2 linked regions of the Oryza sativa Japonica Group genome follow. The protein of the gene in region 1 interacts with the protein of each later gene in a pairwise test. Links are inferred from orthologs where the notes say so. Each region holds a gene or a part of one and is shown on either strand. Other genes may lie near its edges.

The links.
Region 2: the proteins of constitutive photomorphogenesis protein 10 (region 1) and cullin-4 interact in binary tests that used the Arabidopsis thaliana proteins (3 or more experiments, as listed by UniProt). The link is inferred for Oryza sativa Japonica Group from reciprocal best matches to the Arabidopsis thaliana genes FUS9 and CUL4.

The regions. Positions count from the first base shown.
Region 1 is NC_089041.1:23,577,608-23,581,953, forward strand, and holds the start of constitutive photomorphogenesis protein 10, read left to right. Parts: upstream 1-1,253; 5' UTR 1,254-1,374; coding exon 1,375-1,663; intron 1,664-1,873; coding exon 1,874-1,947; intron 1,948-3,720; coding exon 3,721-3,868; intron 3,869-4,023; coding exon 4,024-4,121; 3' UTR 4,122-4,346. Other genes in the region: glucan endo-1,3-beta-glucosidase 4, read left to right, coding at 81-210. UniProt on the Arabidopsis thaliana protein: Component of light signal transduction machinery. Involved in repression of photomorphogenesis in darkness by participating in the CDD complex, a complex probably required to regulate the activity of ubiquitin conjugating enzymes (E2s).
Region 2 is NC_089037.1:33,642,203-33,646,588, forward strand, and holds the start of cullin-4, read left to right. Parts: upstream 1-1,459; 5' UTR 1,460-1,619; coding exon 1,620-1,998; intron 1,999-3,119; coding exon 3,120-3,235; intron 3,236-3,309; coding exon 3,310-3,656; intron 3,657-4,079; coding exon 4,080-4,260; intron 4,261-4,355; coding exon 4,356-4,386. Other genes in the region: tRNA (guanine(26)-N(2))-dimethyltransferase 1, read left to right, coding at 58-372. UniProt on the Arabidopsis thaliana protein: Component of the CUL4-RBX1-CDD (COP10-DDB1a-DET1) E3 ubiquitin-protein ligase complex which mediates the ubiquitination and subsequent proteasomal degradation of target proteins. Participates in the CDD complex to light-mediated control of development.

The sequences.
Region 1 (4,346 bases):
TTTCTCGATATTTTTGTGCTAACGGTTCTACATTTTTTTTTTGGCTCTACGTCCTGATGCAGTGTTGGTTCTTCTTGCAGCACTGGCTCCAATGGCAGCAACGGTGGTGCGGCGTCTGGGCCCGTAAGCCCAGACAATTTTGCTACACAAATTCACTCGTGCTGGTTGACTCACCTAATTACATTGCTGTCTATCATGGTGTTCATGTAAAACCCTGTAAAAAAATGATGCGTTTTGGATGAGATGCCCGAAATTTATTGTGGATCTTGTCAGTAGGAGTGTAGGAGGCCATATTTGTCTTAGATGTATTGAGGTTAGATGGCATGTGTTTCTCAAAATTCGTTGACCTAGAGAAAGGAGTCAAATACATCAATTTTGAATGCCAGGCTGGGAGTATTGAATTGTGGAAACCTTCTTTTCTGAAATGTTTGTATGACTCAAAAAGTGTTTTGTGCTCCCTGCATATCGCTTCAGTACTGAAACTGTCACTCTTGTTGAGTAACAGTGTTTTTCTCTCAGACTCACTAATATTTTTTTTCTTCTAAATTTATACTCTTGTTGAGTACTACATGTTTGTTAAGTTTTTTTTTTGGTCTCATGTAGCAGATGCAAAAATGTCTGGCCTGGTTTGTACAATGAAGAATTAAGTCCTACATAAAAATTTCTACGTTCTAAAGCAGTCCATATGTTACAGTTACATGGCACCGAAATTTATTTATGGTTTTTCAGGGTTGGATTTATGTGTGGTCAGTTTAAAATTTGAGTACTTGGTCGCTTTTGGCCCATTATTACTGGCAATACTGGAACAGCAAAAATGGATTTATAAGAGTATATGTGGAGCTATCAGGCTGTCACGCAGAATAAAAGCACGTCTCAAATCAGTTTCTCTCAAATTTTAGTTTTCATATTTTGTACTCCCGTCTAAAAAAACCACTGTAGGTGGCGATTTAACTCCACATAAAATTTCTGAACATATGTTGCAAATTCTCCTCTAGTTTGGTTTTTAAGATGGATAGAGTAATTTATATTGAAATGCAATTACTTCCTCCGTTTCACCTCCGTTTCACAATGTGAATGTGAGAAATGCTAGAATGACTTATATTGTGAAACAGACATCAATATGAATATGAGAAATGCTAGAATGACTTATGTTGTGAAATGGAGGGAGTAGTATTTTACACTGAACATCACAACAATTATGAAAAATAAATAAATAAATTCGCACCTCCCCTCATCGTCCCGTCACTCCCTCTAACCTTTCCCCTCTCCGCCGCTCTCCCCCCACTCCGGCGTCGCTCTCCATCCCCCCACCACCGCCGGCGGCGCCGCTCCCCCTCACCCCCAAGGCCAAGTCGTAAGCCAGCCGTCGAGGCCATGTCGTCGTCTTCCTCCTCCTTCCCGACCTCTCGCTCCCCTTTCCCCGCCGGCGCCGGCGCCGGCACCAGCGGGGGCGGAGGAGGAGGAGGAGGGGGCTCCGGCGGCGGAGGTGGGGGTGGAAGATGGAGCGGCGTGCGCCCCTGGGGCTCCAGCGGCGGCACGTCGGTGTCGTCGTCGGGGAAGCGGATTCAGAAGGAGCTGATGGACCTCAACGCCTCCGACTGCTCCGCCGGCCCTAAGGGCGACAACCTCTACCACTGGCTCTCCACCATCATCGGACCTCAGGGTATCATCGCCCTTCCCCCTCTCCGCTTACTCCCCCCTGCTAGCAGCAGCCGATAAAGCTCGTGCGAATTTTACTGCGGCTCTGCGAATTTCACTAGTTGAAATCGCGGTTTTTTTTTTTTCAAGTTTGGAATTAGGGTGTGGAGTGTAGAGTGAACTAGTCTTATGACCACCTTCACTTTGCTGATCTAATGCAGTGCTCATCTTGTAGGATCTCCGTATGAAGGAGGGATATTTTTCCTCGATATTGTATTCCCAATTGACTATCCGTTTAAACCTCCCATGGTAAGAACTAAGAATTAGCTTCTTTTTTTTTTTTCTGTTTGCTTAAATGGGCTGTTGGTTATGAGGTGTCTGGCTTTCTACGAGATCATATAGAAGCTTAAGTTGTAACTTGACATTTTCTCTCCTTGTCTGTGTGCATTCTACCTAATGCTGTGATTCATGAGTGATCATATCGCTGTTATTGGAACAAATATCTAGAATAAATATGGCATTCCCTTCAGTAACTATTGATAGACGACTATTGATTTACCGCGTGGAAGTGTGGTTAAGGTAACATGGGAAATGCTTGCATCCAAAGAAATGTTTTTAAGAGACATGCGCATGTCTAAAATCTTGAAGAAGTGGAATAGAAATTCAAATAGGATGGATAATTGGTTGGGATAATATTGTTGTATAGCTAGTTCTACTTCACTATGTGAACAGGGTATTACAAAAGTGATGAACATTGGTATGTTTAGTAAATGCATAGGGTATTTTGTTTCAAAAGTCTACCTTCACCGGACTTCTTTTAGTTTCTTCAAAATAAGTGTATGATCTATGCATTTTAGCCTGGAAGGGGTTTGAAAATGTGTCGAGTTGTCTGCAAGGATTAAGATTCATCCTAAAATGGAATATCTCATGAATCTTTTTGGGGACAAGGAATGCTTCTGTTCAAGGGCTAACTCAGCAAACAGTGTGATGATTAGAAGGGCATAGATAACAAAAGAGATTATGTTAAAGCTAGTTTATTTTGTTATTAATTAAAGCGACCTGCGTTCTTTTTAAGGTAAGCACCATTTACCTCTTTTCAATATGATCTTGATTATTTATGAAGAAAACTTATCTGAAGTCTGTTTTATGCTTAGTGTTCAAGAAAATAACTGCGCAGAGTTTCTAAAATGTTGTTTTCCTAGACATCCCCTGTTTTGGTTGATAGTGCTGTGTTAAAATTTTACAGAGAAAGGTTTTGTCCATTGGAAGCCTAATGTGCTTGGGCATCACCTTCATCCTATGTCAATATACTATTTGCATAGTAGTCTGGTAAAAAAATGAGCCTTCTAAATGCAGATTTTTGGTCCATTTAGTGTTGACATTGACTAATCAGTATACACCTGCTGGCTGTAGCCTACACAGCCCTACATGATCACCTGCTTCATGGTTTGTTGGTTGCTAAGACAGTAAGACTGTTACTGTCTTTGCCCAGCTATTACCATCAACTTATAATTCCTTGATGGGAGGTAGGATATGAAGGATCCGAACAACCAACCTCCATTTCTGCTCTTCAGTATTTGATGGAGCATCTGGAATTCTCCCCCATTCTCTAGATAGCAGTGCTGGAAGCCTAGGGCAATGCTAGGACTGATTTGACCTAACACACAGCCCTGCAGTGGTCTACCTTTTACCTTAACCAGCACATGGAACCATGCAAACATCAATACAGTCCAACATGGCAATCATATTAATTCTGCTAATGCTACACTCCATATAATTTGGCAATAGTAAGTGAATTTCTCAAGTTTTTGTAGAGTGGATAGCACACTCATAATACAGAGGAAATACACATGGGCTGGCAATTGTGGCTTGATTTGATGTTTCAGTAATTAATAATATGGAAGGTAATACACTCTTCCAGTTGAACATGCTAAAATTTCAATATTGAAGGAACAGCAATTTCAATGTTTATATAGAAGTATGAAACAATTGAGATCCACTGCTGTAATTTTATCCGATATTTCGGTATTAGGGGACCTCAATTCGTGGTTACAAGTTATAACTGTTCTGTCACTGTGCTAGGTAACTTTCAAGACAAGGATTTATCACTGCAATGTTGACTCCACTGGTAACTTGAGTATGGACATTTTAAGGGAAGGATGGAGTCCTGCTTTAACTATTTCAAAGGTGCTACTTGCCATTAAAGCCATCATAACAAACCCAGATCCATGTAAGTTCCAAGTTACAGTATGATCACAATTGTTCTGTTTCTGCACTATCTTCCATGATAAAACATGCAGTCCTGTTTAAACTATGTAATATACACATAATTTTTGCTTCATTTCATCTTGATAACTTCATATTATGATTGTTTTTTCCGTGCAGACTGCCCACTTGTGCCGAGCATTGGACATTTATACTTGACTGATAGAACTAAGCATGATGAAATAGCTGCGGAGTGGACGATGAGGTTTGCAAGATAGGGAGTTCCATCTGCAGCTAAGCAAGATCACTAACTCCGTAAATGAATATATTTGGTGTACCCTGAGATGTACAATGTTGGGAAAAGATCAATACTTTGTTTAGGTTGACTGTGACATAAGATGTACCTGTGCATTTTATATTAGACAATTATTATGTTGTTAGCTTTTAGGTGGCAGAATTGGCTTCAATGGTATTGTACTTATCAAGGTATTTGTTTAGAATCA
Region 2 (4,386 bases), on another chromosome or scaffold:
CAGTCCTTTTATGCCTTTCAGTTAGATGGCATTCTAACTTCCTTTGTGTTTTCATAGGCAAATTTCTCTAGAGCGGCTGCTGCCCTCAGCAGGGCTCAAGCAAAGAAGGTCAAGCGGTTCCTTCCGAACCCAGAACGTCATTGGGGTCCCAAAATCAGAGCTGGTCGGAAGATTACAAGTAAACATGCTTCTCTGTTAGGTCCAGACGTTGTCAACCGTGTTATCAACGGTGCTGCCAGCACCGAAGATGAAAAGGTGGCCGAGCCAAATAATCCAACGACAGAAACCGGAGGAGATGCAACGAATGAAGAGGATGAACCTTCAACAAAGCGCCAAAAAAACGGCGATGTTGGATTGGCAACCGAACCTTAATTGTCACTGAACCTGAGCACGTTTCGCTTTCACCACTCAATTCTTCCATGTTTGTAATGCTTCACTTTTCTTGAGGGTGTGACTGATGGGTATATCTATCAGCTGTGTTGCTAAACGGTTTTTAGCAATGAATTTTGATCGCGAAAAATCTGTTGTCATATTTTGCGCTTCTGGCCAAGCTTATTCAGTGTGCCTGCTGAGCGAGAAATGGTGAGGAAACGGGTGAAGACTATGGGATGCAATGCAATTGTTTTTTTTTTGTGCGCTTAAATTGGACGGGTTTCATTTTGTATTATTCTTCTGCCTGAACCTTTTTGTAACTTCTGTGGGTGCATTCCTTCCCTGTACCAAAGGCTGAGGCAATGATCGCGAATCCGGCGAATCAGACAGAAAGACGACGAAGACAGGTAGGGTATTTGCGTGTGAATGGATTCTAATCCCTGAACACAACTTAATTTATATCTTTCTCTTCTCTCTTCCAAATTTAATGTAGATAGTTACAAAAAATTCTAAAAGGAATTAACAACATACATAACGGTGTCTATGGGTATAAAAATTAAGTTTAAATTCGATCAGATGTAAACAATAGCTATTAGTCATACCTGAATTTGTCTTTTTTTTTTAACATTTTGATGCGTGAGTTGAGTTTTTTTTTTAACATTTCGATGCGTGAGTTGAGTCTGTACGTGAGATTTTGTGAGGTTGTACAGTAGGCATGTAGTACAAGTGTTGCTAATTTTTTTATAACCGTTTGGATGAATTTTTTGAACAAACGAAAGAAGATCCCGTCAAAGGGATGAAGATTATAGTTCTCCATATCTGACTGCGCGTGGATATCTCGAATTCTCGATCTCGAGTTCTCGACAGAAGGCAGAGGCGGCGAGGGCAAGGCGGCGGCAACAGAATTGGGCTAATGAGAACAAAAGGAAACTGGGCCGCGTGGAACTCCAGGCCCACATTCTCACTCTTAATTTGGGCCGCTACGGCCTCGCAAATCCCACCTAATAAAAAATAAAAAAAAGAAAAAGAAAAAGGAAAAAAAAGAAAAAAAAGAAAAGAAAAGGGGAAACCCTTCCTCCCCCAACCCGATCTCTCTCTCTCTAGTCTCCACTCCCCCACCTCCTCCTCGCCGGCGTGCGGCGGCCTCACCCCCAAAACCCCGGCGCGCCGCCACCTACCACCCATCCTACCCCGGGCCTCGCCGCCGCCGCCGGTGCGGCCGCGCCATGCGCTTCGGCATCTGATTCATGTCTCACCCCCACGCCACCGCCCCCAAGCGCCCCGGCCACTTCTCCTCCTCCTCCGCCGCCGCCTCCTCCCCGACCTCCCCCGCGCAGCCGCACATGAAGAAGGCCAAGTTCCCCGGCTCCTCCTCCTCCTCCTCCTCCGCCGCCGCCCCCGGGGTCACCGAGAAGAACGGGCTCCACGTCGATCCCACGGCCGCCGCCGCCCGGACCGGTGGGCGCACCAACGGCGAGGAGGATGCGGAGATGGTGCTCGCCGACCAGGAGGAGCTCGCCGCTCCGAGCGCATCGGCCCCGGCGGGGGTCGCCGCCAACCTCTTCCGGAAGAAGGCCACACTCCCCCAGCCATCCGCCGCCCGCAAGCCCCTCCGAATCAAAATAGGTCCCTCTCTTTCACTGTAATTGCACGTTTTCCATGTGAGAATACATCATCGAGGGGTTTCGGGGGTAAATTGAGGGGAATTCTATTGTTCCTCTCAGTGTGTTCACTTGCCCGCTTGCGTCGTTAACTTAAATTCCAATAATAGGGAGGGATTGAGGTGGTGTTCGTTAGCCCTTTCGTCAAATGGATCGCTTCGTCACACACTTCTGTTTTCTATTTACTAATTGGCGTGTCTATTTGTAAAGAGGAATTTGGCTAGACACTTGGACTATTTTGGGGGAAATTGATAATTGCTAGGGTAACTAATGATTTCGTCAGCAACAATCCGTCTAGTTTCTCTTGAGATATATATGTATGTTCAATTCCTTGTAATTGCTTGTTTATCTTGGCTTGCTTTGTTGGGCGTGAATATGCATCAAGGATTTCTGCCTTTTTTAATGCAGTTGACAAGTGAGCTTGGGCATAGTTGTATGGTTCTTCTGACTTCCTGCTCCCCATTTGGTCGTATTGCACCATATGAGCTGGCTTCTAGCTAGATTGCTTAAAAGTTGACACTCTTTTGTCTCTTTATTGGGTGTAACTGTCGGTATTTATTGGAAGCTTTGCTTCGCATCTCCAGTATGTGACCTTCTCTAGTCTTCAGGAGAAAGCTGAAAATCCGTTTCTGTGCAATGGATGTTGCAGTGGCTCTAACCTTTAATATCTATTCATTTCTGAGTCATATATAATAATAATCCCTGCACCAGTCACTATTCACTAATCAGTACCCACCATAACTAACTAGTAACCTGTATAAGAAAATTCAGAAGGCCATATGTTCTTTCTTAGATAATAGACCCCTGGGATCTTCTGGATGTATTTTTTGCAACCCTTTGGCGTGATTGGCAAATGAGATTGGGAAATAATATCCACCCATAAAAAATGCAACACTGCATCCTAGCCATCCATTCTAACCACTCCATTTCATTGTAGCCCTTCACTCATTTCCCTTTCCCGATCCCACCTCTCATAACCCATTTGCCGAACAAGAACTAAAGATTTACTCCCACCCCGGAATTCGTCTCTTGTTGCATCCCTTTTCTGTTTTGTTCATTATATCCCATCTGTTTTTCATGTATCAGGTCAGCCAAAATTGCCAACAAACTTTGAGGAGGATACATGGGCTATTTTGAAAGATGCTATTACAGCTATATTTCTAAAACAGAAACTTTCGTGCGATGTTGAAAAACTTTACCAGGTAATTTTTATATTGCTTCTATTCTATTTGATGATCCCACTTTAGTTATTTAGAACTTGTTTTCTTCACTATAGGCTGCAGGTGACCTTTGTCTACACAAGCTAGGCGCAAATCTATACGAACGCATAAAGAAAGAATGTGAAGTACACATATCGGCAAAAATATCAGCATTAGTGGGTCAAAGTCCAGATTTAGTAGTATTTTTGTCTCTGGTGCAAAGAACATGGCAAGATTTTTGCGATCAGATGTTGATTATTCGTGGTATTGCTTTACTTCTTGATGTAAAATATGTCAAGAATGTTGCAAACATTTGTTCAGTGTGGGACATGGGGTTGAAGCTATTCCGCAAGCATCTTTCACTGTCTCCGGAGATTGAACACAAAACTGTTACTGGTCTTCTAAGATTAATTGAGAGTGAGAGGTATGCCTACTCTGCTGTACTGAGCCATGTTGTGTGCATTACCTGTCTTATTGTGTGTGTGTGTGTGTGTTTTTTTTTTGGGGGGGGGGGTGGGGGTGGGCGTAAACATGGAATGATGAAAATTTGTAATGCATGTTCTGATTCACTTGGGAATTGTTCAGAGATCTGGGTTGAATGGTCAACTGTAAAAAGTACCCTTATCAGACTTAGTGCAATGTATTGTATACTCCATTACATATCAAAGAGTAATCAGTTTACTTGAGAAAAGTTTTGTCATTGCATTTACCTTGTGTGATGTAGCTGGCGATCATAGTGTATGTATTGGGTCCATTTTAAATTATTAAAATTGTGGACTTGAAGGGTCAATTTATTTTATATTCTTCTATGTAACTGATTATTCATTAACCATCTCTTCCTTATCAGGCTTGGTGAAGCAATAGACAGGACATTACTTAGTCATCTTCTGAAGATGTTTACTGCTCTTGGAATGTATTCTGAGAGTTTTGAAAAGCCCTTTCTGGAGTGTACATCTGAATTTTATGCTACTGAAGGTGTTAAATATTTGCAGCAGTCTGATATTCCAGACTATCTCAAGCATGTGGAGGTATTGATAAACCTCTTGTATTTCCCCTTGCATTTTGTTCACACAAAATTCAGGTATACTTATGCAATTGGTGGTATTTCACATGAATTATTCAGACAAGGTTGCAAGAAGAACATGAAAGGTGTA